4 linked regions of the Mytilus edulis genome follow. The protein of the gene in region 1 purifies or fractionates together with the protein of each later gene. This does not show direct contact. Links are inferred from orthologs where the notes say so. Each region holds a gene or a part of one and is shown in the gene's direction. Other genes may lie near its edges. The genes, in order: mitochondrial intermembrane space import and assembly protein 40-B-like, cytochrome c oxidase assembly factor 7-like, microtubule nucleation factor SSNA1-like and FAD-linked sulfhydryl oxidase ALR-like.

Region 1 (7,352 bases):
TACAAGTAAAAGCTATAAGTCCAGATTCAGTCCGTCATTTTCTTCATAAGAAAATACCTGTATCAAAACAAGAATATGACAGTTGTTATCATTCGTTTTAGGTGTTTGAGCTTTTGATTTTGCCATTTGATTGAAGACTTTCCCCGGAGATGATATTTTTTTTTTTCCTTTTAACTGTGAACAGAATTTTTTTTTTATTAAAATTGACAATTCCTTTTTAAAAAATGCAGATGAGCGTGCAATAAAACGGTCTTTGTACGAAATTGTCTGATGCTTGTGTATCCAACACAAACACGGAAATTCCTCCGAATTGCTGTTTAATATAATTTTCATTATAGCCACGATCGAATTATGACTCGTCAAAATATCATCCTGGTCAAATGATATGTTTTTGTATGGGGAATTAACCGAATTATTCCTAATTATTTTACAAGACTCTCGTATTAGTACGATTTATATACAGAAAACAACATTATTTGAAAGCTGTTTATCCGCAGGAATAACAACACATTTATCATGAAGAGATATTAGACTTTTTACAGTTTCTCTGAAAATGTACTCGATCATTCACACAGTTTTTCCAATTATGAGACCTGATTGTTTTGACCTATTATGACAAAGCGTCCAGTTCAACTCCTCTTCGTTTAGCCTATGTTCGAGCGTAGTACCTAATGGAATCCATAATTATTTTGAAGTTATAGCTCCAACTGATGTGTTAGGGTTTTATAAACTTAGGACAATGAAATATTACCTTTCGAAATTGTTCATGCTGAAATATGTTTGGATCCCAAGAAATAATGTATGCTTGAGAAAATGTATTTGTACATCCTTTGCCAAGTGCATAATCTCTCAAACATTTGAGAAATTACAAACGCAGTGCAAAAAGAATATTCTAACGTAATGAAACCATAGCGGGTGATGAAGGTGTAAACGAACAAAGGTCATCAAAACTCTCAGAAAGCGATATTAAGTAGATTCAGAAGACTTTGACATTGCGGACCGAGTCTAAATCATGTCTATTTCATTCAACAACGGTTAAGATGAAGAAACAAATCTAAACTATACCTTAAAGCTCAATATGTTGAATTGCAAGATAAAACCCATATTCGTGCAATGTAGAAAATGTATCATTTATGTGTAATTGTTACGAAACGGGGTTCGCGAGTTTCGTGTACTATCTGTTTTCAGAATTCGTCAGATAATTGTTTTTGAAGGCCGTACGGTTGTCTATCATTGCTTACAACTACTTCATTTGAACTTTGATAAAGAGCTGTTTCGTTGGCATTCAATCCATATTTCCTTATCTTTATATACATGTTCCTATATATTTTCCTATAACAGATTTAAGAAGAATTGGTACGAGTGCCAAGGAGACAACTCTCCATCCAAGTCACAATTTGTAAAAAGAAAAACTATTTAAAATTCGGTCTTAAACACGGAGCATTGGCTCACACCGAACAGCAAGCTATATTGGGCCTAAAAAACTACTACTGTAAAACCATCCAAATGGGAAAACCAACCTATAAACGAGAAACAATTATGAACCACATCAACAAACGCCAACTACTAAATAACAGGTTCTTATTTAGGAAAGGTGCAAACAAATGCAGCGGGTTTAAATGTTTAAATGTTTAAATGTACCAACCTTCAACCTTACTATAATGGACGAATATTGTATATTGTAGATATTTATTAATGAATTTGATCATTTTAGTAAAAAATGTGGTAAGGAAAAGAGCATGGATATAATGATCGAGGTTAAACAATGTGGTAAGGAAAAGAGCATGGATGAATGATCGAGGTTAAACAAGCCGGTGACTTCAGTATTTATTCAAATCTATGAATTATATATATTTATATACAGTAAAGACCCATTAGGCAAATAAGGAAGTTCAACTTAAGGATATAAAAACAACTATGATTTAATGGTAATAGTCTAAAATTGAGAAGTCAAATTGATTTTGTCTTATGATTGTCCATTTATAGTTTACCGACGTACGAGTTGAACTTCCTGATTTATTTCGTGTCTTCATTAATCGATTTTGTAGTACCTAGGTTAAAGGTCATGTTATCTTTATCAAAGATGAGTTAGTTGGAATAAGTAAATCCTGTTTCATTTGAATTGAAATGGTGTAATATGTATTTGATGATACAGTTTAAATGAGGAGTGAGTTCTTTAACTATTTAAAGGTCCCTAATTTAAACACAAGTAGGAATTTCCTATTGATATATATATATATATATATGCAGCTGAGAAGAAAAGTGAGTACCTTGTACGGAATTTGGTGAAAGTCTTTTGATGTTTTAAAGGTGAAGCTGATATATAAATTCTGTAATAATCTTTGAATATCCATGCGATTGTCGATATTGCTCATTGGTTAGGACTCAGATTTTGAAATTAATCTTTTTAATGATAATAAATCCGCCTATAAAATATCTAGAGCACCTACGATAAAATTGTCGACTTTGTTGATAACAGATTTGTAACTCTTCAACTATACAAACTATAACAAATCTAATATAGTTTCTGATATAGATATCAGTGAGAACTCTCTCCCTAACGTATAACAAATCTAATATAGTTTCTGCTATAGATATCAGTGAGAACTCTCTCCCTAACTTATAACAAATCTAATATAGTTTCTGACATACATGTAGATATCAGTGAGAACTCTCTCCCGAAACCTTTCGACAGTGGTTGTTGTTTGTTGCTGTTTTTGTTTTTCGTTCGTCTTTTTGTACATTAACTATAGGCCGTTAGTTTTCTCGTTTGAAACGTTTTATATTTGTGATTTCGAGGCCTTTTATAGTTGACTATGCGGTATGGGCTTTGCTCATTGGTGAAAGCCGTACGGTGACCCATAGTTGTTAATGTCTGTGTCATTTGGTCTCTTGTGTAGAGTTGTTTCATTGGCAATCATACGACATATTCTTTTTTATATTGGACCTAACTTTGTGAATAAAGAGAGACAAATCTAGGTATAATTGACAGCAGATATTTTAACAGCAGAGGGTATTCATTACTGAACATTAATTTCAAGAACCAAGAATATCATTTCTTAAATTCACTTTGAAAAAGCCACTTGGAAAGCGTTCAAGTATAAATCAGTACATGAACATAAAGTAAGTTTTACCGGTATGTCAATTTATAAAGGGAATCTACCAAGTGCGGAGATGACTGCCATATTAGTCTAGAGCTTTATTTTGATAGATCATAATCTTTATTACCAAAGTCTACAAAACTATAGGTACAAATTTGAATAACATCAGCATCAATAGATACATTTAATACATACATAAACACAAACTATGCGACAGAATAGCAGAAGGTGTTGTAGTAATACTAAACATTAGTTTGACATTTAGGTTCTTAGCTAAAAAGAAACACCTTTTCTAAATACTGCAAATTTAATTTTAATTAAATAAATATTAACACTCAATGACCATTTTGATATATAAGTATAATGTCTGCTTTACAATTCAAATACAAATATTTTATTGGCACAAACTCAATTACAATAATTGGCAACGGCTCATACAACTAGTATACAAATATCTTGAGTAAATTAAACTGTAATGATGCAGCAATACTACATAGAATATTTTACATATTAAAAAAAAATGTGAAATTACATAAAATCTGCGTGGTCAATCAGATCATATTAATTGTTACTTAATGTTATTTGTTTTCTTTAATGATTTATGTTTACTTATCTCTGCTGTTTCGTTGCTATAGCATATATTATGCTTTTTGCAATAAAGTATTCATTTAAGTATGTATCAAGCATATTTTTATACACCTAATAAGTATTATAAACAAAACTAAACATTACCTTCCTATTTTCATGTTCTAATTAAGTGCTATCAGCGTCTTATGAGCAGAGACATATTACACATATGTGTATATATATCACTTTCCCAAAATGTCTTGAAAAATAAATATTAAGAGTCTCCTTATTCATAACAGAGACATAAAGCATAAAGCATAAAAGATTTATTTAAAGTCGGTTATACATATAACAATACAACATAAGTTCTACATAACCGACTTTAAATAAATCTGTTATGCTTTATGCTTTATCCCTTATGTCTTTGTTATGAATAAGGAGACTCTTAATATTTATTTTTCAAGACCGTGATTTTGGGAAAGTTTCAACCAGTCATTAGTGTTTGACAGAAAAGAGAAAATAGCTGATGTCCTACAGACATCTTCAATATCGCAAATATCACTTTATATTTTCTCTTTTCTGTCAAACACTAATTTTTAAAATATTAAAAAAAAATCATTTTAAGAAGTGCTCCTCAGATAGGAGGAAGGTAACAGCGTACAGAAACATTGACCGTAAGTTTCTCTCCCCATTCTTATATTTCCCTGCAACATGTCTTACTGTGTTGAAGAAGGTAAGGTTATTCACAAGTGTAAATCGTTCAAACAGTTAACTCTAGTTACTTTAAGCAATTCAAAACCTGTGCACAAAGTCAAAAATCGGACGAACATTCTCCATTCCGGTCTGTTTCCTTACAAATTCAACTGGGGTATATACATTAGGATTTCTTATGCAATCGATCTTTTTACTATACTGTACAAAGACAGGTAATGATACTAATCATGATAAACGATGGTGAAATAATAATAGTACAAGTATATTGTATCCTGCACTGCCACGCTTCTCTTTCAAATGGGTCTCATTGGAGTCTAAGCGTCACGCGTGATTGCTGATTTTTTGGTAAGCGTGACGCGTGAATGTCAAATTATTGTGCTGTGAAAACGGGAAATGAAGTCTAGCGGGACATGGGTAATTACAAAAAAATGAGAATTTCTTACGTACATAGTGTAAGCAGGATACAGGAATCTGACAAAATTTAAGCGGGATCCGGGATCAGAACCCCCCAATGAGACCCCCTTTCAAGCCAAGGGTTACATTCTGATTCTAATGACTGTTTACGTCAAAGTTCAATTAGGGGTCGTCTAGATTTGTTTGTAGCATGTCTAGTCCAAGTAATTAATGATATCCTGTAAGGATATTTTAATTTTATGTTGTGACGCCTTCTTTTAATGTCATTTTATTATTGGAAAAATAGTGATAAATGTTAATCTGACCTATTTTGCTTATTAAAAGCGTAATTAAAATACAGTCTATTAGCAGTCACTCATGGTAAGTATGCAAAGTGACTGCTTATGAGAAAGGTGACCTTTCAAACGATGTTCAGAAATAGTCTTATTCTGATATGACCTGCGGCTGGTATAGAGGAAAATTGTTTTAGTGTTTATTTACATGTAGGTACATGTAGAGTTTCCCTTCTTGTGAGCAATAAAATAAGCAATGGCAGGTTTCTACATTGCAGTTTGAAGAAAACATTTGAAATACATGTACATGTATGTTATTCTTCAAGGGGGAATTATAATATACTGATATAGTGATACGGTTTTCAATTCAAAACTTAATTTCGACATTTTGTTATGACCTTATATTTTCAGTCATGCTTATATTGGTACACTGTACATGTAGCTCAACAATTAGAATGGCTTTTGTTAAAAGTTAAAATGTTTTTGTGCAAAACTTAGATGACCATTGAACATGTTGAAAAGAGTTCATTTATATAGAGTAAACTTCCTTTGGGGAGGGGGAGTGATTGAAAATTACAGACAGGTGATCACTGAAACAAGATTCTGGTATTTGTTGTCAGGTTTCACTGTACAACTTTTGATTAAATATAATTGATAATGCAAATTTAAAATTATGACATGTAGGACTGTCCCTGATGTGGTGTAATTATACTAGTCATTGTGTGATGAATAATTTTGTATGCAAATTTTAATTTCAGGGAAAGACAAAGTTGTAATAGCAACTGTAGAGGACTTGAACCAGCCTTGCAAAGCCAATATTGTTATAGAAAAACCCAAAGAAGAACCAGGTAAGATTACAACACTGGCACATCCCTTGGGATAAACTTGATACATGTTCTAGAAGTAGAACCTATATTTTGTAGCAATGCCTTCAAATGGAACTAAGTCTCAGAGTTCTTTTGTTATAAATAGTTAAAAATGTAACTGTGAACAACCTTCCAACCATTGAAAGCATATCAATGAATTCACGATTTATATAAGGGCACTGTTTTTATGCTTCATTTGTGGGCATTATGTTTTTTGGTCTGTGCGTCCGTTCGTTCGTTTGTCCGTTTGTCTGTCCCACTTCAGGTTTAAGTTTTTGGTCGAGGTAGTTTTTGATGAAGTTGAAGTCCAATGAACTTGAAACTTAGTACACATGTTCCCTATGCTTTCTAATTGTAATGCCAAATTAGAGATTTTCCCCCAATTTCAAGGTCTACTGAACATAGAAAATGATAATGTTGATGGGGCACATTCTTGTTTAATTATAAGTTGTCGTCTAACTTTGATACTTACTTAATACATGTTGATATACTTTATCTTTGCTTGTACTACACAGCTACTTTTGCATAGATGCTATTTCTGTACTAAAAATATGTAGTACTGGAAATTTACTTTTAATATTTAGTACTATTTCTTTTACTTTATAAAATTATTGTAATATTTAGGTACTTGTATTTTAATACAGTACTTGAATTGTACTTAATATTTTGGTACAGAAATAATACAATATTCCATGTTTGAAAATCATAGTTTTAAGAGATTTGAAATAGAAAAACTTTCAAAATGCTGAAAATGTAACAGTGGTAACCAAAAATCTGTAGTACATAAATTTCAAGTACAAATTAATTACTGTAAAATACAGGTACATGTACCTAAATATTACAATAATTTTAAAGTAACAAAATAGTACTGAATCTTAAAAGTAAATTTCCAGTACTACAGATTTTTAGTACAGTGTGTAGTACAGAAATAGTACCTATGCAAAAGTAGCTGTGTAAAATTACAGAGTTAATGAATTTATTAGTGTAAATATGCTTATAAACATGATAAACAAAGTCCAAAGAATGAACAAATATATCTGTCACTTTTCAAGAGTTAAATTCATGAATTATATTTTGTGTTATCTCCCTTTGTACAGAGATATATTTAAGAGATAACTATATTGTAGTTGATGCTTTAAGGACGTCCATCGGTAGTTTTACTGTCGCAAATTTAGTTTACCTGGTGACACGTAGGGGAGACAGGTAAATGGGTATTTGCGACAGTAAAACTACCAATAGACGTCCGAAAAGCTTCAAATACAATACAGTTATCTCTATTCTAATGCAAAACAAGTTCATAATTAAATTTCAATCATTATTTTAGTGTAAATTCTTCAATAAAGAAAATTCTGTGAAAAGATGTTATCTTCTTTGGTCCCAACACTAGATGACGTCATAGCCTCATAGGTATGCTTCCT
Region 2 (7,619 bases), about 120 Mb from region 1:
GTGTGTGTGTCTTTTAATTTTTTTAGATTTCTTTCTTTTCTAGATTGGATTTATAGAAAAGAAATCCTTACAACATGTAAAATAATGTATCTTAAAATATTTCTTCTTTTTCTAGTTATCACAATTTTGGATCTCTAATTTGTACCTGTTTTCAGATAGACATTTCAATGGACATATCTATATCTTTACACCTGTATCGTGTTGTCTTCAAACCAATCTCTGAAATTAATAATTCATATTTGAGTCATAACATATATATATAATGTTTAATAAATTGCAAAATGATAATAATCAAAATTGAGTTACAGTTAACATTTGCACTTTCAAAATTATCTGCAAAAGGAAAAAATATCAAAGAGCATGATTGCTCTGAGGGATACAATTGCCATTGTTTTCATTGATACATGTATGGCTTAAATTAAAATATTGTTTGTCTGCCCTTTACCGACCGACCCTATAAATTCGTTCCGCCTGAAAATCTTTTATTTGTATTTACCAGCAAGATTTTATATTATTTTATTTTTCCGTTCCTACAAAAAATCTTATATTTGTATTTCCCCGCTCAAAACTTTTTTACAGGAATTCTCGGGTTTTTATCTTTCCCGTATAAGGTCTAGTCCGTTTGGTATCATGTGAGCATTTGACATGAATACTTGCATTTAGAGTTTCAAAGCATTTGTTTGGAAATCGATGTTAAAAGCTTTGAAAAGCTTGATATGAGGAACGTTACTATGTGCCTTAATACTTCAAGAGTAGGGTTCATTAAAAAAAGTTTGTGTTTAATACAAAATTATCAATGTGTGTACAAAATATTTTGTAAACGCACGTTGTATCCTACATGTATGTAGGCATGGCCTTTGGTGATCTGTAGATCAGGATGATTATGCCTTCCACCAGCATTGGGTGAAAACAAGGCCCAAAATAAAAAATATAAATGCACAATATAAGATTCAGTATATTATAGAGCCACAATAATTCAGGTTTTGATCAAACAGAGTTTAATGACCCTTTGGACATCAATGTAGACCCAAATATAAATTAGGGCCCAATATCCAAATAGTAAAACAAGGTTAGACCCCCCCTTCCCCCCAAAAAAAAGAGTGTTAAAGCCTTTCACAAAATGTTCATCTCTTTCAAAAGAGTTCACTGAAGGCCAAAATGAGACTTAGACCAGTATTTTTTATCACTGGTGGTGGTTACAATATGATCATTGCAAAAAAACGGACAATTGCAGTGCATATACTGGCACTTTTTTATATTGAACATATGTTATCATTGTAATTACTTGTCACCAATTGATTAATTGATGTTTAACTTGTCACCAACTACACCAGTGATCGGGAAGGACGTGCGCCCTGCGCCAATAGCGCATATCGACCAGAAATGGCGCATAGAGTGACAAATGTAAGCGCCCACGTGGCGCACGATATTTTTCACTTCGTTTCGAAACCTTTAGATATCGTCAAATGGATTTCCGATCGTGTTCCTTACCGCCATGTGTGTATACACAACTATGTAATGTTCCTCCAATGATAGGAGCACCTATATATTTTTGGGAGTCTCGGGTGTTTTCATATTGTAATAGAACCATGCGGTTTAACGTCTCGAGTGTTTTCGTATGGTAATAATAGAACCATGCGGTTTAACTGATTACCCAAAAAACGTAATTAACTATCATTCTTGATATAATTTCTTAAAAACAACTTTAAATTTGTGAAATTTGGCTAGTAAAGACAAGATTTATCTCTAATTATAATCTTTTAAGTTAGTTTAGCTTGCTATCATTTCGATTGAAAAACCCCAAAGCCTTTGAATGAATATAGTTTTTTGTCTCCACAAAAGGCGCTTAACTGTTCTTGTCATATTTTGGTCTTTGGCTCGTTTTGACATTTTGTAAACATGACTTCAGCGAATTGTTGTTTTGTTCTATCAATTAACGATACTCTCTACTGTTAGTCTTGTCATTGTCATGAAGTAATAATAATACAAGAAGTGCAGAGGAAATGCCAGAAATGTCCTCTGATACGGAACGTCTGGAATAAGTATGGTTTCGACGAAGACCCAAATGTAATGTACAAAAAAAACATGAACATGTACAAGGCAACAAAACCAGTTTGAATATTGTAAATAAAGGTTATCTTAAATATTGTCCGGTTTGTAGGAAGTTAAAATAACTTATTGTATATTCATTGAAATTGAAATTACAAAATCACAGGAACAATATCCATGATATAATTTAAAATCATAAAGGTTTTAAAGTACCACCACCTCTCTGCACAAATATACTGATACCAATCTTTTTTACAGTGGTCAATTTAAATGGCCCACTCATTTGACAACATGGCCCATTGAATTTATTGTTGGGGGGGGCCTGGCCCATAGTGAAAAAATCCTTCCAGATCACTGCTACACATTCATGACATTGTGTGAATTTGTTTGTTCATTTAACAATTATATAGGATTGTTGACAAATGTGCCTGCATTTTAACCATGTTAACAGGGAATTGTTTAAAAAATATTCCATTGTTTTTTCTCTTGTTCTTATGCAAGTGTACTTAATCTTTAACCCTATGGTATAGATTATTTCAAACATGGGGCAAAAACATCTTAGGCCAGAATGACATGAAACCTATTGTAGAAGCCACATTCAAGTGAACCCCCTAGCTGTTGCTGAATACAACAATAACTATGTCTGTCGTTAAAAAGTTGGTACATTTTTGTTCATGTTATATAAATTCATGACAACTTGCCCCACTGGCAAATCACCCCACACTAATTCGCCCCTCTCTTGTTTACCAGCTCGCCCTTCTTTTAATAAGGGAAAAATCACACTGAAAATATATCAGACAACTCGCCCTACTTATGAAAAAGATTAAAATTCTATTGAAAAAAACTTGCCCCACTTAACGATTTATCGAAAATAAAATAAAACCCTAATCATGATCAATCTCCCCTCTTATAAATAAAAGAATAAAACTGTACTGACTTAAGGACAACCAACACACCTTTTAATAAATACTTATGAAAACCTTAGAAATGCATCTTGTTTTAACTCTCTTGGTTGAAAGAAAGCAGACAGAAGTAAGTACTGTATCAGCATTTCTGTGAAGTACGATGGTATTGACTATAGTCACTGTTTTCTGGTTAATATAATCACTGTTTTACATGATAAGTCAAGAATCATGAGTGTTTACATGTACATAATTTTATTGTCAGATATTAAATAGGTTTGCACAATAAGTCAATAGACATGATAGACAACTTTCGAGTTTGATGCATTTCCGTCAAAAACTTTGATCTTCGTGAACATCATTCGTGCGTTGAAGTCTGAAGTGTTTTTAAAATAAAGCGTATTGTATTTACATTGTAGAGGGGGGATAGGACCTTTATTGGGACTCCGGGATCGGGTGTTTTTAAGTTGGGGGTTTCAGAATTGACCCTTTCGGGATCCGGAAATTCTTTTTTTCAAATTTCGGGACTTCAGGATTTAGATTTTTTAAAATTGGGCCCTGATCATGATTTCGTGTTTTTAAGCCCGGGATTTCAGGATCAGGACCCCTCCTACCCCCCTCATTGTAACTACATGTAGTCTATAGTTTCTATACACCTTATCATATTTGTCCACCATTACTGGACATCACACAAGTTCCCGTACATTTTGACGTCATAATTGACGTATTTACACTTGTATGCAAATTTGTCCGCCATTACTTAAAATCACACAGGTTCCCGTAAATGTTGACATCATAATTCAAAACATTTGACGTCACAACTTAAAGGTGATTGTTGCTTGACGTCAAAAGGTTATTCGGAGGTGATATATAAAGGTCATTCGGAGGCACAATACAGCTAAATACCAAAAGTGTAAATACGTTTATACAAGATATCTGATGCCACAATGAAAAAGTGATTGTTGTATGAAGTTGATAGTTCAAGCGGGACAAATTTTAGGGTCAGTCAGGATTAGCACTAAGGTGTATTAGCCAACACACATATAATTTTGTATGCCATAATCATTTAATGTAAATGTGTTTGTGCTAATAAGTATTGTCTATACCAGGAAGTTTTTCTTCACAAACAATATAATATTGTATGTGCAAGTTTTATACGCTTAAGAGGACATTTAAATAGAAAATTCTTTAAAGATATCAATTAAGGTACTTGCTTTAAGTGTATTTTGGTATCTGATGAAATCAACATGTGCACTTATTTGACAAAACAGAAAGCACTTTTGAAGTATTATACATCTTATGACAGTCATCGGTTCGATGCAGTTGACAATAAAATCAAATTATAAGTTTACAGAAACTGGTCAATATTTGAGAAAAATCACACATCGTATAACTTAAGGACTTTTTTTTTGCTTCAAAATGATGAAAACATAACAAACATGGCCGCTGGGATGTAAACATGCCAACTGTCAAACATTAAAAACCCGATCTGGCACCACCCTTGCACTGTCAACAGTTTGAAATGTATGAAGAATATAATGGGAAACACAGTATGTTATCGAAATAATTGTCAAAACCAACAACGAAAGCTGTCATCGAAATAAATCGAACATTTGTTGAACGTTTTACTTACTACTTGATTATTCTGGCGCGAACTGCCATCTGGTGGCAAACCACAGTTCAACTTTCGACAACTCAAGGTCGCACTTGTTCAATTATATAAAATGGCAACAAGTGCCAGTACCCCTTATTCGTATGATTTGTCGAACGAAGAAGATGTAAAACATTACCTTAAAAATATAGAAATCGAGTATTCATTCCACTGCTTTAGTGAAAAGAATCCTGATGGTAAGTTTGCAAATCGGACAACATAAATTGGAGAACGCAATCGAATAATTTGTGAAAGAAAATGAATACTGGTCGCTTTTCCGGATATAAATATCTTTAAGTAACATTTATAGTAAAGACTTTGTCAGGCTCAAAAATATGGATGAGGTCGATTTTAACCTTTTTTTCTGTTCCTATGATAGAAAATGATCTGATGATCAAAACCCGTATGATGATAATGTTTGAGATGTATTTTGCATGGTCTCACTATTAAATATATGACAAGAAAAATTATGGCGACAAGAAGACTATTCAGCTACGAGAAAACAAATTAAGCTAAATTTAGCGACAAGAAAGTTATTATTCTATCAATAAATATAAATGTATAGAAAAAATAATCAGAATTCCCATGGGGACTAACTGTGCACCACTTATTGCCGACCTGTTTCTGTATTGTTCTGAGTTGTAAATTATGACTGAAATCAGCAAAGACCCATTATAACAACATCTGTATCAAAAACTTAATAACACTTTTAGATATTTAGATGATATATCGCCTCTCAATAATGACAACTTCAGTATGTACCCTAAAGAGATTTATCCTGACGAACTGACTTTGAATAAAGCTAATACCTACAACAAACACTGCCCTTTCCTGGATCTTGATATCTATATCTTGAACAGGAAGCTCAATACAAAAATTCATTTCCTATAGTTAATTATTGTAAATTCAGAAATTTTTGTGTGAATTTATTATTGTGATTTTCTCATTTTAAACTAAAACTCAATTGTAATATTGCGATATTTGAGGAAAATCCTATTTAATTCATATTAAAAAAATCAAAATGCGAGCTTAAATTATTGCTTTGATTATAACCATGATAACCCTGCCACATTTTTTGCAATAATAATAATTTTTTAATCCATTGAGACTACAAGAATATGAGGATGGTAATGGCATTTCATCTTTTTTCAACTTCAGCTGGGCTATATGACTATTTGTTGACTCTGGAGATTACTCTGGAAATACAGTAAACGAAATACAGTTTACATGCATATTCTTATTTGCAAACAGTTTAATCCTGGTGTTCCAAAATTAAAACTTAAACATATTCAATATATTTAATAAAAACTTCTTTCATGACGAATGATTAATTTCTTCATCTATCAATATAATAAATAATAAAAGAAAATCACTTTATTACTGCCTATATATTAAAAAAATGTCAAGGTATATTTTTTATATATATTTATTTGGAATAAAAGTTTTAAAAAGTTTTCTTGACGCTAAATTCTTCTTCTTGTTGCTTTTGACGCTTCTTGTTGCAAATTAGTGAGACCCATTTTGCAAAACTTTCAGAATTTTGGGTCATCAATGACTCTTCTCTTCAACCAATTTTTAATTTATTTGGGGTTTAAAGTGCTTTGATTGGAGTGTCACTGATGAGTCTTTTGTAGTCGAAAGTCCTGTCTGATGTACAAAATTATTAGTCAAAATAAGTTTTTTTACAGCCACTCTGGCAAAATAAAATAGTACATCTGTCATCACACAACCCACATGCACACAAGTCCTCGCTATTAGATGTCCAGTATGGATTTTGATACCTAATGAGGTTGATGTGAAGTTTGTGGGGTTAGTAAGTAAATCATTATAGGTCAAAGTATGGCCTTCAACACGAATCCTTGTCTCAAACTGAACAGCAGAAGAAGAAGATGTTTATTTCCATTAAAAGGTCTCACAAGGAGCATAGTACAAGTTAAGACATAAATAAGATAATAAGTTAAGACATAAATAAGATAATAACAAAAAGAAAAAAACAATAGTCTAGTATACATACAGTTTGAATATCATGAACTACACAATACATAAACCTATAAAGGGCCCCCAAAATTACTAGTGTAAAACCATTAAAAAAGGAAACTGTTTAGAAACAGGTTTTAAAATACATGCTGAACTTGCCACTACATTCAACATGTTGATTAATGTGGGCAGTATTTGAAGGGAAAAAAAGAGAAATGCCTAACCTAATATATAAATGGTTCCATAAAAGATTGTATATTATCACACTTCATAAATTCTTTGTTTTTTTACAGGGTGTTATAGATTAGCATCATTTTATGACACAATCAAAATTGACAAAAAGAAAGCAATGAAGCTATATCAAACAAATTGTGATGATAATGAACATGGGGATAGCTGTAACAAATTAGCCAAACATATGATGCTGAAGGGAAAGCTTGGGGGAGGTAAGACAAATATATAATATTGAAGAGAAAAATCAGGGGAGGTACACATATATTCACATTATATATATAATGAAGGGAAAGCTTGGGGGAGGTAAGACAAACATATTATAGTGAAAGGAAAATTTTGGGGAGGAAACAAATATATTATAGTGAAGGGAAAGCTTTCAGGAGGTAATACAAACCTATAACAGTCTGAAGGGAAAGCATGGGTAGGTAAGACAAACATATAATGTTGAAGGGAAATCTTAAGGGAGACGAGGCATACATATAATGTTGAAGGGAAATTTTGGGGGAAACGTGACATACATATAATGTTGAAGGGAAATCTTGAGGGAGGTAAGCCAAACAAATAAGGCTGTAGGGAAATCATGGGGAGGTAACCCAAATAAATAAGGCTGTAGCTATAGGGAAATCTTAAGGGAGGTAAGCCAAACAAATAATGATGAAGGGAAAGATTGAGGGAGATAAGACAAACATATAATGTTAAAAGAAAATCTTGAGGGAGACATGACAGACACATAATGTTGAAAGGAAATTTGAGACTTAAGAGGTAAGCCAAACATATATTATGCTGAAGGGAAAGCTTTCAAGAGG
Region 3 (6,919 bases), on another chromosome or scaffold:
GTCAGTGATCAGGACTCCTTTCCGTACACATTCCTCGGTTTTTAATATAACACGAAGTTTATTGACAGAACATTAGCTGATCTTAGCTCGAAGTGTTGTTTTGATTCAGAATTCATAGAAGTTACTTCCGGAAGGGAGACAACTAGAAACGATAATATGGAAGACTCCATTTCGCCTGAAGGTACCAGTCTTGTATTACAACTCCAATTTCCGGTGCATGTCAAAACATGGACGGAAACAAAATAGTGCATTTTTTTCTGAATTTTTTTCTGAACTCAATTTTTTCTGTTTGATTATAGGTTTATGCTGAATTGAAACATATATATAGACTTTAAAAAAAATCTTGCATCTTTTGGGGATATCAATCCAGGAAAGTGGAAGGATATCATGTTTACTGGAAGTGGTGCGTCCTAGTAAAAATAGCAAACAGAAAGTAGAAAAAAAATGTTTTGACTTCAGGATTGCGTAACTTTTTATTCTTTGTGGCAAGACCCCCTTTTTTTTCGATTAAATCACAATTTCACATTAGTACATACATGATATGAACATGAATTTTTTTTTCTATGTAGCATTTTTTATTTTTTTATTTTCAAAGATCAGCTGTTTTGCATGTAAGCCTATGGAGCAGTCAATTACAAGACTGCAACCTGAAGGGGTGTTTTACGATGCGGACTACATTTATTTTGATTTAAATGATGCATAAGATTTAAAATTATGCAACAACAATAACTCTCAATAGAAGACATACATAGAAAGGATCCCATGAGTTATAAATTAGTTAATTGAGTGGGGAATCCAGAGCAACCATTCAATCTAAAACTCCTTAAAGTCAAGAAACAATACGCATGCGCATAATTCCAAAACAAACCCTTGAGCAAGAACGTATATTAAATGTTTATTAAACGACCTAGATGGTTCTCTATTTCTTTATGGAAGTACAATCTCAAATATCAGTTTCATAACGGTAACATATAAGAAAAACTCTTCTAATCAAATTTCTTTATTTGTTTCATAAGTATGATTTTCTTTCAGCATAGTTGTCTGTCTCTTTAAACTGTTGATCAGTAGTTTAGACGTCTCATTTATCTGCAAAACAAAAGATGACTGTGAAGGCATGCGTTAATTTCTCACGGCAAAATATTTTCATATAATTTATCTATTATAAAAAAAATGTGGTATGTTTGCCCATGAGACAACTCTCTACAAGAGGCCAAATGACACTGAAATTTACAACTATAGGTCACCGTATGGCCTTCAACAATGACCAAAGCCTTTACCGCATATATATATAGTCGGCTATAAAAGGCCATGAAATGACAATGTAAAACAATTCAAACGAGAAAACTAACGGCAACATTTTTGTACAAAAATGAATGAAAAACAAATATGAAACACATAAACAAACGACAACCACTGAATTACAGGCTCCTGACTTGGAATAGGCACACACATACATAATGTAGCGGGGTTACACGTGTAAGCGTGATCCCATCCCCCCCCCTAACCTGGGACGGTGGTGTAACAGTACAACATAAGAACGAACTATAAAAATCAGTTGAAAAAGGCTTAACTCATCAGATGGACATTAATACAAATACTACAAAATTACATAAGTGGACGTGGCAGGGTTCTTGGATATCCCAACAACAAAAATTAAGACACTAAATACAGATATGGGAGTACTCGCATATACTGACAGCTAGTTCAAAGCCACTATTTTATAAGACTGAATTATCAATCAGTACACATCCAACATCCAATTGATTTAGTGTAAAGATGTCATAAAAATATGATCAAGAGTATTCATTGAAGAAATGATTTTATAACAAGCAATCAGGAATGTTATGTCACACTCGATAATATCCACGTATTCAATATACGAAATACGTTTCACGGTTTGGGTAGCGCACAAGGGACGTGTGTAGAAATTTCTGCGGCAACATAACACCGGTCTCAAGGTCACATCCGAGGTAAAAATCAAAAATTAAAAAATAAATAAGAATAAAAACAAGCTCTGTAGTTTAGCTGCAACCTGAATCTGCAGTAGTTCGAACCTTAATTCTAAAGCGAAAATTAACCCAGAGTTTTAACCTAGAACTTGAATATTAACTCAAGGTTATACTCAAATTCTTACTAAAACTGTAATTCAATGTTTAACTCGAAGTCTTGAAGAAAATTCAAATTATATTACACTCCTATCTTTATCATGTTTACATTTGTATGTAAGTGGAACTTAAAATTGCTAAAAAGATTCATGTAAAACATAACCTAGATCAGCTTTAATGAAATAAAATATAATTTGATAGTGTGTTTGGGTGTATTTCTTTCCATTCCTTTTCACCGAATTTTTTTTTGTACATTTGTGGCAAAGAGGGCAACTGAGATTCCACATTACTGAAGTATATTCGGGATGAAATATACATAAAAATGTGATTCAAAGTATAAGATTCTGAAGTGTTTTCTTACGACCGACAGGTGCCACATGTAGAGCATGATCTGCTTACCCTTTCGTGGTACCTGAAATCACCCCCAGTTTTGTGTAGAGTTTGAGTTGTTTATGGTCTTTAGTTTTCTATGATGTGTATTGTGTACTATTGTGTGTCTGTTTATCTTTCTTTTTTTCTTTTTTCGCCATGGCGTTGTCAGTTTATTTTTGATTTATGAATTTGAAGTCCCTCTGGTATCATTCGCCCTTCTTAAATGTTTACACGACATGAAACGGAATTTATTCATAAAGAAGAAAAAAAATAGTTTAGTCATCAAAAGATATCCAAGTTTACCTTTGCAAAGTTTTTTTCTGCTTCGGTAATTTGATCGATAATTTCTTTGCTTTCTTTTTCCTTTCCAGTAAGGCTTTCGTCTACTTTCTTCAGTCTATCAAGTCTTCCTTTAATTTCCGTCTGAAGTCGTGAACACTCGTGTGCTAATTGCTTTTTGTCATATTTTTCGTAGGTTTTCTCCCATAATGGAATTTCATTTAATCCATCAGCCATTTCAGGTCTAACTTTTGGATTAAATGTCCTTATATTGAGTTTGTGGAGCTTCTTAGAGCCTATCAAAATATACCGAATGAAATATTGTAATGTGTAAATTTCAAATGTATTTTCGTTCATAAATTATTAGATACTGACACATGACGAATATGAAGGAATATTCACATATACATGTATCATGAAATCGTTATATATATAAGAATTACTAATTTTATTGATGAATTTATTTTTCTTTCCGTTTAATGAGTGACTCAGTCTTTAATCTGTTGTTAATATTAAAAATGAGTTTCGACATGATGATTGACTCTCATTTGATCATGTCTCAAAATTTCAACAAATAAGATTGACCGACCGAAGCAATGCATTTCTATTTTAAGTTTAAAAACAATACCTTGTTGTTTGTCACAAATTCCACCCATCTTTGTGTTTGATTTCCATAATTAAAAATCTGCAAGAAAAAAGTAAAATTCAGTTATAATAAATATATTTTTTAACAGAAACCGGTTATGGTAATCATTACATTTTTGTTTTGGTTTAAAAAATTAACAATAATCTTAACCATTTATTGATTATTTCACAAAAGAATTTCACACAGAAACACACTTGTATTTAAACTTTCAATTCACTAGCAGTAAATTAAGCTGTACGTACGTACAGCTTAAAATTCAGTGATGTGATATTCGATCCGTTATTTACTTTGGGTGCTAAAGGAGGGGGTAATTGAATTATGAAAGTTCGAACGCTTGAAAATTTCTTTTTCTCTATTTGTCTCAACAATTCCTTATCCTATATTTCTTTATTTCTTTTTTTTCTTTCTTATCTATCCTAAATATATACGTTTTTGGCGACTCGAGAAAAATCCGGAATAATATCGTCATTATTCCGTAGCCGAAACACTTTTAATTTGAACAACATTCTTTATGACGTAGAACTCATTTTTGCTTATCAACACAAAAAGTGCAAACAAGTTTTGACAGCGAAACTCAAATTTACTTCATTCATTTTTTTGCTCTCAAGCGCCCTAAATATGTCGCAACAAGGGGCTGCTTTACAGAGTTATAATAACGAACTCGTAAAATGTAAGTAACAACCGTTAAAGTTTAGCATTTCATTCGTAACAAACATTTCAAGATTTTTTTATAAAACCAAGTCCAAAACAAACACACAAATACGATATATAATTCCAGAACTTAGTTTTCTATCAAAATTTCCTTTTAAGAGAGTTTTTGAACACAAGAAAACTATTGAACCAAGTAGTTAAGTCGAAATAATTAATCAGAAAATTGAACGAACGTCATCAAGATTATTTTGGTACCATGGTAGACAATTATGGTACATTTGTACATAGTCCAAGATTACTCTGACGTCCAACGGCTGTTTTGCCAGACAAGCTGGGGCCGTGGGACGTCAGAGCTCGTCCCATATCAAAAAGTGGACATTTGCAATGCCCACCCAAAAGAGATGCGCTGCTTCGTCGCTATTGATGCCGACTGACGGCCTTGGAATTATATAAATCGGGCATCAATCTATTAATTTTTCATTTATCTCTTCATTTATGTAAGTTTCACCTACCTGCGAACCTTTATTTTTCCATATTTTAAGTTTTCACAGTTACCCATCGATTTCGGCATTTTGACTTTCATTTTCAAGATAATTGTTTTTTACATAGATCTTGGTTCCTTTGAACTCATGTAAAAAAAATATTTATAGCAATACACTAACCAAAACATGATCATGATGATTAAGATTTTATCAACACATAAAAAAAACGTTGTCAGAATCTCACTTTACTTAGCAAATGCTTAGAAACAATGAATTAATTTTTTTATATAGAGCAGTACACTTGCCTAAACATGATTAAGATTTATTCAACACATTAAAAAAACGTTGTCAGAATCTCACTATATGTAGAAACAATGAACAAAAAATATTTATAGCCATACACTTACCAAAACTCGATTTTTAAATTATATTATTATACAGTGTTCTCCCCAGATATTTCATATAGCATCCTGGTGAAAAAGGAAATTTGAAATAGCATTTGGTTTCTAAAAATTATAGCATCACATCCATAACACAATCTATAAGAAAATGAATTCAGATAGCATCACATTAAAAAATATAGCATCACATTGCCATGATGCTAAAAGGCCATGGGGAGAATACTGATATAAATAATACCAATAAAAATTGTGCGCTAACGTGTAGGGTGCAAACAGACTTGAGACCTGTGCCAACGTGTAGGGTGCGAAATTGAAAGGGCACGAACATGAATGGGCGCGAACAGACCGATTCCAAGTGAAGCAGGATCTGTTTCTCTATCATGAGCATGATGAGGCCAGGGTAGTAATGCCTTTTACCGTCAGGCGTCAAACAGCAATTTTCGGCTACTGTTAGCTTCAAATTGATTAAAATTTTTACCCCCATTACCACCCTCTTTCATGTCTATCGGGTGAACAAAATTTCCTGAATATTCTTATCCTACATAATGTATCTGTCGATATATTCTTATATTTGATTACAAGATAAAATTAGCATACACATATAGGAAAGTGTTTCATGTTTTGAAATAATATTAATAGCCCTACAAGGAAAAAATTAATGGTCGCCCATTGGGACCAGAAATTGACCTGGGCAATCTTTTTATTCAGTTGTGGTAGCCCAGGTGGCGAATTGAAAAAAAGTACTTGACTAAAGGAAATCAGCTGTTTACTTTAGCTCCAAGTGTGGGCTGCTTCACTGACAAAAAATATCAAATCAAAAAGAAGAAAAAAATCTGTTTAAAATGTATACAGGCAAGTGTCAAGAGAAGTATTGTCGTAAAGTCACGGTCGCAATACACAAGGATGTAAAATCAGTGTTTACCTTAAAGCTTTGACTAAATATTATAAGTTCACGTTAATTCAGGTCACTGATTGGTCGTCCATTTAAAGTCGTAAAGTATCAAATGTTTGTAAGGACATGAAGGATATTAAGAGAGACATTCCAATACTTATAGTCATCAAGAATTGTTCGGTTTTGGCTTCAAGAAAGCGAAGTTAGTCAAAGAAGATGATAATAGAATATTATGAAATGATATCAGTCTGACAAATAGATATAGATTCTACCACTGCATCGAGGTAATACGATATTTATCCACTCCAGACAGTCAAATTTTCAAATATAAAACTCAAGGCTCGCCGAGCGATTTAAATATTTAAAATTTAACTGTCGAGAGTGGATAAATATCGTATTACACTAGATTTGGTGGTAGAATCTGTATCTCTAATGATTTTTAAACAATATGCAGGCAAACGTATTCCTTTCTTTCGAATGATCTGCAAAAAGATGTGTACTTTCTATGTGACGTCATCAGACACGGTCGCCTTTTTTCATGCCGTCACAATAGGAAATTCAGAGGAAAGCAAGAAAATTTGACGTCACAATTGGATTTTAACCAATGAAGCACTGAGATCAAACGAACCACACTTTGATTAAATTTTTTATACAATGGGTGCAGAAAGGGATAAATTGACGAAGGATTAGAGAAAAGAAAGTATAACATGTAATGTTGTTATATTAAGAATCTGGAAAACAGTACCTTTTGTAGTTTTGTAGTCCCTTTTCAAAGCCCATGTGGTGTCCAGAGAGTGAAGGTCTAAAACGAAAGTAGAATATTGTTGACCACAAATAAATAACATAAGTTCAAAATGATTTCAGTTTCCTACTTGACTAAACAGTTTACAAAAAAGATAAAATCAGATTCAGAGTAGATATAAATTTCATGACAATGCTTTTGAAATACATGTACAAATCTTTTTAGAAAATAAGGGGGGGTCATTTGTTTACAAATGAACTTAGTTAAGCAAAATAAAATGACCAAGATATTTAATAAGGCCAAATAATAATATACAATGTTACCCGACATACCCTTGTTTAAAGATACA
Region 4 (6,848 bases), on another chromosome or scaffold:
AAAATGTTATGTACAATAAACGGCAAAAATATGTTTTATACAGAGCATGCATCAATAAATCAATATGTTAAATTTTACAAAAATTTTGTGTAGCTCAAGCTACAAAGATATTTTTTGTCATGCATCCGATTTCACCTACTAGATAGATGCACACGCCCGATGAAGCTAATTTGTTTAGCGAAATATTGCGTGAATAATATATAAAATATAACAACTAATTGTATAACATTCATTAGTGTGTTAAAGTTACATTCTAACTTAGACACTTATATAATTTAATTTAGTAACTGCATCAGTTTATTTACAAACTGATCCACGCCTAGATAGATTGAATGTTGATTGTTGTTATTTTTAGACACTATATATATATTTATACTTTTTTCACTTTTTTGGTCTTTTGGAAAATGTTGTTTGTGCTGTTTTTAGACCCTTCTAAAACGAAATTTGTTTTACATGCACACGTATAAAAATTGCGGTTTTTATCCAACGCAATCATAGGTTTGAACGTAGTGTTCAATTTAGATTCGTTTATATTTTTTCGTTTGGGCTTGTTTCATATTTTCCCTCTGGTTTATATGATCCGTTCATCCTATATTGACTCTTAAAATTCAAGAGTCTATCTAAAAATGCGGGTACTTTTTATATGGCCTTCCAAATACCGTTTCGATCCCTATAACATCACTTGAAGAGACATCTGGTGAACTAAAAATATATTGACACCGTATGTTTGTGGCATAACATCGTGGCAACAAGTTATTTTTTTCTGTTTAGTATTAAATTTATATTAAGATCCATTTTGTTACATCTTGTGATCAATTTTATTTGGCAATCACCAACGGAAGTCAGCAGGGTTAAAGAACACCAGTTGCAAGTCAAATACGTTTTGTTTAAATATACTTTTTCACTTTTTTGGACTTTTGGAAAATGTTGTTTGTGCTGTTTTTAGACCCTTCTACAACGAAATTTGTTTTACATGCACACGTATAAAAATTGCGGTTTTTATCCAACGCAATCATAGGTTTGAACGTAGTGTTCAATTTAGATTCGTTTATATTTTTTCGTTTGGGCTTGTTTCATATTTTCCCTCTGGTTTATATGATCCGTTCATCCTATATTGACTCTTCAAATTCAAGAGTCTATCTAAAAATGCGGGTACTTTTTATATGGCCTTCCAAATACCGTTTCGATCCCTATAATATCACTTGAAGAGACATCTGGTGAACTAAAAATATATTGACACCGTATGTTTGTGGCATAACATCGTGGCAACAAGTTATTTTTTTCTGTTTAGTATTAAATTTATATTAAGATCCATTTTGTTACATCTTGTGATCAATTTTATTTGGCAATCGCCAACGGCAGTCAGCAGGGTTAAAGAACACTAGTTGCAAGTCAAATACGTTTTGTTTAAATATACTTTTTCACTTTTTTGGTCTTTTGGAAAATGTTGTTTGTGCTGTTTTTTGACCCTTCTACAACGAAATTTGTTTTACATGCACACGTATAAAAATTGCGGGTTTTATCCAACGCAATCATAGGTTTGAACGTAGTTTTCAATTTACACTCGTTTATATTTATCTATATATATACAACTCGTCTAAACATCAACCAAACAATGTTAGATCTGTAGAAAGCAATTTTTTTGTTCTTCCCTCGCCGGGATTCGAACCCATGCTACTGATATAACGTGACACCAAATAGCCTGCACTGTAGCCGTCCCGCTAGACTACACGACCACCTGGGCTTCTAATAATTAAGCTTTCGGTAGCCGTGTGTTACCTTTCCTCGTCAGTTTTAATCTAGCGGCGTACTACAGTACATGATATGTAAGGCATGGAGATGTTATTGTAACAGATCAGCTCAATTTTCTATAGTAAAGGATCTGACAAATTAATGCAGGATACAGTCACAGAAAATAATTATATCAAAAAGTACGTCTGAGTCAGTGACAACTCTACAACAGATCATTATCCATCGGATCACCAGCAATGATGGTGATACATGGCTGTGTACATTATGTATATACAACTTCGTCTAAACATCAACCCAACAATGTTAGATATATATTATATGTATATATATATATAATATGAACAAGTCTAAATTGAAAAAATGTACGTTCAATGACAATATAAAGAAAGAAGATGTGGTATGATTGCCAATGAGACAACTATCCACAAAAGACCAAAATGACACATATTAACAACTATAGGTCACCGTACGGCCTTCAACAATGAGCAAAGCCCATACCGCATAGTCAGCTATAAAAGGCCCCACCTATTTGCGTTGGATAAAAACAGCAATTTTTATACGTGTGCATGTAAAACTATATTAAAAAAAAAACGCATTTGACTAACACAGGTCATATATAGAAGTTTTGTTACTGAAAATTAATGTTTTCTCTTTTTTCTCATATTCCCCATTTCCATTTTCAATCTTATTGGTAAAGTAGTCAGTGCTCTAGCTCGCAATATCTTAGTTGCTATTTTATCTAATCCTGTAGCCGTTTAACATTGATCTCCCCTACCCAGGGACTTTCTATACTAAAGTCCCTGCCCCACCCTAGTTTCTCTAGAGTGTAAACATGAAGAGGTTAAAAAATTTATTATATGTTGTGTTATCTTTTAAAAGTTTAAGTACCTTTGTATTTATTCAATGCTAAACTGGCATATGAAAATTGTATAGAAAATACACAGCTCCCCCCCCCCCCCCTGTACTCTCACATTTGGCAATTGGTTGCTATATAGATGTCTAGCGAATTATACGGTTATAAATTAAGATGTTGATTAAAACAAAGATAAATATAGACCAATTCAAGTACACCTTCGATTGACGACAAGACGACTATAAAGTGAGCACGTTTGGAGATACTTACTTAAAATAATTATATACTAAGTTATACTATCGTATATACATTCATCTGAATCAGATAGAAATTAACATAATCAAGATCATCTATATAACCTATCTATTTTCAACACTTTTGTTTTAAAACTTCTACATATAGTGTGACTTGTTGTTAATACAATTTGGGGCATGGTAACCTTTTATGAAATTAAGCTGATTGATAAGAATGCTGACAATCACCAGAGACATTGTATTTTGTGTCTCTGCAATCACTAACACCAGTTTAAAAAAAAAAAACAGTGTTTTGTGAATGAACACAAACGACGGCGAACGACATATTTATAGTCTTTTTTTTCTTAGCTGTTTTTTGTCAGTATATTGTCTTAATTTTGTATGCCATAACCTGAGACTACTATAATACATTATAGTAGTCTCATGCCATAACCATTTATGATGTAAATGACATTATGCGTTTGTACTAATAAATATTGTCTATTGTCTAATAATTTAATTTTGGATGTAACGCGTCTTCTTATTGGCTGACGTTATTTTGTTATCAGCCCATAGACATAATTTAGTAATGTGACGGTGACGTTATCAACGTTTTTCGTGGTTTTCTACGGTTTAAAATGGAATTTAGAATTAAATTATAAGAAATGACTGTAATATTTTTTCTGTCTATTCGAAATAGCATAAAAAATGTGGTGCACACTATTAAATAACCCGCTAGGGGCGTTATTCAGTGTGACCAAATTTTTTATGTTATTTCTTCATAGAAAGAAAACTAATTAGTCGTTCCTTAATTGTTTAATGTCTGATGTCAGAAAAAAAATCAGTCACATTAAAAAACACGTAGAAATCCGGAATTCATTATACAAGAAGGGATATTTATAAGGGAAAATGCAAAGGAAAAAGCATAATATATGCCATTAAAATACTTTACTTCACGGGATCGAAGTCGCCGATCATGAATATAGGCTCTACCGTTTCAATCAAAACGCACCCAACATGTCAGCCTCCAGTGGAACGTTCGTTGATCCAGACAAAAAACCTTGTCGAACATGTGTAGACGTTGAAACTTGGTTTAAGGGGACAGGAGGAACAGAAAAGGTTATATATTGTTTATAGGAAATATACAGGTTGTTGTTGAAATGTATGTCGTTTATGACTGTCTGACGTAATCCCGGCATAATTTATTTCATCAGATCGGAAACTACCTCGATGTATAATCCACCAATTGACATATATTGATATATAGACCAATTGACATATAATGCAAGTTTTTTGTAATCAAATGCTATAGTTTACATCGGCACAGGTTTCTGCGGAGAAACCCGAGGGTCCTGGTTGCCTTTCCTGGAATCCGGGTCCGTCCGCCCTGATTCTGGTTCGCCCTAGTTTCTGTTCGCCCTAATACCTGTTTGCCCCGAGTCTGTTCGCCCTGATTTTATTTTTTAGTATAGTGTTGCGTTGTGTGTATATAATTGAATGTGTTGAAGTCAGTCTACAATTTCGGTATCCGGTCGTTCCGGCCCCAAACCGATCCGGCCCCAAGTCAATCCGGCCCAAAGTCGATCCGGCCCAAGTCGATCCGGCCCACGTCGATCCGTCCCCAAGTCGATCCGGCCCATAATAAAATATGAATTAACTATATTGATTTTGGAGAAATTTGTCACAAATTTTAACAGTATAAATGGAATTTGAAAAAAAAGTGTCCGATGATGGATGACAACAGGTCAGTGAAGTATTGGAGTACCAGTTAAAGAACCATTTTTAAATCGATACAAAAATGAGTGTTATTGTGTCTGTTTGTATCGCAGTTTCTACATTTTTAAATTATAAAGTTATTTTCCATGATAACTTTTACCAGAGACATATATATATATGTCTCTGCTTTTACTTTGAATTTCATAGCGATTTTTATTTGATTCAGTTCACACACAGAATAGTTAAATAAATATTTACAGTCCAATGGACCCGGCTATAAAATTTAACGCATCATAATGACTTATTTAATGATCAAATCATTATTCTATAATTGGTTTGTATATTCAACAGTTGTCTGATGATTGTGAACTAAGGTAATGTCACTCGTAATCACTTAATTCAATCTAATGCTGATTACTGAAGTTACGCAATGATTTGTATAGTGAAAATATTTTTCAAAGGCCTTTTTTAATTTTTTTTACCGTACACATAGTACACTTTTAACATTATAATAAAAATAATAAACATTTATGAATAACAATTAATATATATATATTTATTTTTATTCCTTAGAAATATATTTTTTATTGGGGCCGGATCGACGTGGGGCCGGATCGACGTGGGACGGATCGACTTGGGCCGGATCGACCCGAAAGCTACAATTTCGTCGAATATTTACGATGAATCATGTTAACTTGTCTAAAGCTAGCAGCTACTAGATTATAACATTTGTATAAGTTTCTGTACATTTCAGGACTACAAGATATTGTGGCTTCAAGGTATTGAGGACTTAAGTTTGTATCTGTATGTAATTATGTTACTAGGAAATATAAGTTTCTGTGAATTTCAGCCCTACATTGTTCTTTTAAATGTAAAACAACTGAAGACTAAATTATTTGTATGAAATTGAATATGTTGAAGTTTACATTCACCGAATATTTATTTATGATATGTTTTCTGTGTAAACTTGAACAACTGAAGACTATAAGTTCAGTATTATGTTGTCTTGCTGCTACGAGGATAAGTTTCTGCGAATTCAAAGACTACAAAGTATTTGACATAAAACAATTAAAGACTAAGTCTATATTTAACTTTATTGATACATTTTAACACATTTATTTCCTAAACAAATATTTAAAAGCACTAAATAGAATTACTATTAGTGAAACAAATACCAAAAACACAGTCACACTGCTGTACATTGATCACTTGTCATCAGTGTTTCTACCCATCCAAGCTGACTTTTTTATTTGAGAAAAATGTTATTTTCATTATTAATCCATCAAAAACAATTCATTATCATATACATGTAACAATCAGCAGTGATATCAAAGATTTCAAATGATACCTAATCAGCAATGAAAATTCAATCAACAGTAATTAAAAGTAATTAAAAGTAATTACAAAATAAAGTGTAACAATGCAGCCACGAATTTTATTTAATTAATATAAATTTGGCAAATATTCTGTATTTAACTCCAAGGTACTTTCAACTATCAAAAACTTCTAGTTGGTGTCAGTGCAAGGTGTATGTTGTTTGCAGGGTGTTGCGATTGTTAAATATCCTCATGACTGTGCATTTTTCTGGATGGAAACACATCTGCCACTTGTGTTCTCACTCTTTCAAAGCAGTGAGGTCTCTGTAGAGTTGCAGCATCATCAGGATTTCTAATTTTCCTGTACACCAGCTGGCTATCGTCCGCAAACAACCTTGCATCTGAAGATGTACACTCTGGCATGTTATTGATATATGTCAGGAATAGTAGAGGACCTAAGACTGTTCCATGTGGAACTCCTGATATTACATCTAAAGGAGTTGATGTATGTCCTTCTGGAACAATTGACTGGGTTCTACTGCTTAGAAAGTCCTTTATCCAGTTCAATGTTGATCCTTTCACCCCGTAGTGTGCCAGTTTCAAAAGCAAGCGTTCGTGTGTTACCTTGTCGAAGGCTTTTGAAAAATCCAGTAAGATGATGTCAGTGTGGTGCCCCTGGTCCATGTTTTTGGCAATCTGGTTCAGGGTTGGCAAAAACCCGGGTTTTATGAGTATTGCCCAGCCCAGTGGGAAATACTAGGAAAACCCGGGTTTTACTGGGTTTTAATGTGTAATACTGGGTAAGATAAAATACTGGCCTGAATTTTAAAGAGGATTCAGTGATCAAACTCAATTGCAATACATTTAAGATATTTATAAACACATTTTGATTTATAAATTAGTTTAATTGTTTGAGAATGATAATAAAAGTGTATATACATTTAGAAAAGTACTATTCTTGCAACTATGAGACAAGTA

The links.
Region 2: the proteins of mitochondrial intermembrane space import and assembly protein 40-B-like (region 1) and cytochrome c oxidase assembly factor 7-like purify together in Homo sapiens (co-immunoprecipitation; 3 studies listed by BioGRID and IntAct, with this or other methods). This does not show direct contact. The link is inferred for Mytilus edulis from reciprocal best matches to the Homo sapiens genes CHCHD4 and COA7.
Region 3: the proteins of mitochondrial intermembrane space import and assembly protein 40-B-like (region 1) and microtubule nucleation factor SSNA1-like purify together in Homo sapiens (co-immunoprecipitation; 3 studies listed by BioGRID and IntAct, with this or other methods). This does not show direct contact. The link is inferred for Mytilus edulis from reciprocal best matches to the Homo sapiens genes CHCHD4 and SSNA1.
Region 4: the proteins of mitochondrial intermembrane space import and assembly protein 40-B-like (region 1) and FAD-linked sulfhydryl oxidase ALR-like purify together in Homo sapiens (co-immunoprecipitation; 3 studies listed by BioGRID and IntAct, with this or other methods). This does not show direct contact. The link is inferred for Mytilus edulis from reciprocal best matches to the Homo sapiens genes CHCHD4 and GFER.

The regions. Positions count from the first base shown.
Region 1 is NC_092344.1:2,158,766-2,166,117, reverse strand, and holds the start of mitochondrial intermembrane space import and assembly protein 40-B-like, read left to right. Parts: upstream 1-4,330; 5' UTR 4,331-4,379; coding exon 4,380-4,401; intron 4,402-4,985; exon of another isoform or gene 4,986-5,006; coding exon of another isoform or gene 5,007-5,016; intron 5,017-5,826; coding exon 5,827-5,916; intron 5,917-7,352.
Region 2 is NC_092344.1:118,813,641-118,821,259, reverse strand, and holds the start of cytochrome c oxidase assembly factor 7-like, read left to right. Parts: upstream 1-4,606; 5' UTR 4,607-4,675; coding exon 4,676-4,799; intron 4,800-6,872; coding exon 6,873-7,025; intron 7,026-7,619. UniProt on the Homo sapiens protein: Required for assembly of mitochondrial respiratory chain complex I and complex IV.
Region 3 is NC_092345.1:24,957,490-24,964,408, forward strand, and holds the start of microtubule nucleation factor SSNA1-like, read left to right. Parts: upstream 1-3,899; 5' UTR 3,900-4,020; coding exon 4,021-4,072; intron 4,073-6,919. Other genes in the region: uncharacterized protein, read right to left, coding at 991-1,086, 2,781-3,052, 3,385-3,412. UniProt on the Homo sapiens protein: Microtubule-binding protein which stabilizes dynamic microtubules by slowing growth and shrinkage at both plus and minus ends and serves as a sensor of microtubule damage, protecting microtubules from the microtubule-severing enzyme SPAST.
Region 4 is NC_092352.1:29,569,992-29,576,839, reverse strand, and holds the start of FAD-linked sulfhydryl oxidase ALR-like, read left to right. Parts: upstream 1-3,819; 5' UTR 3,820-3,855; coding exon 3,856-3,957; intron 3,958-6,848.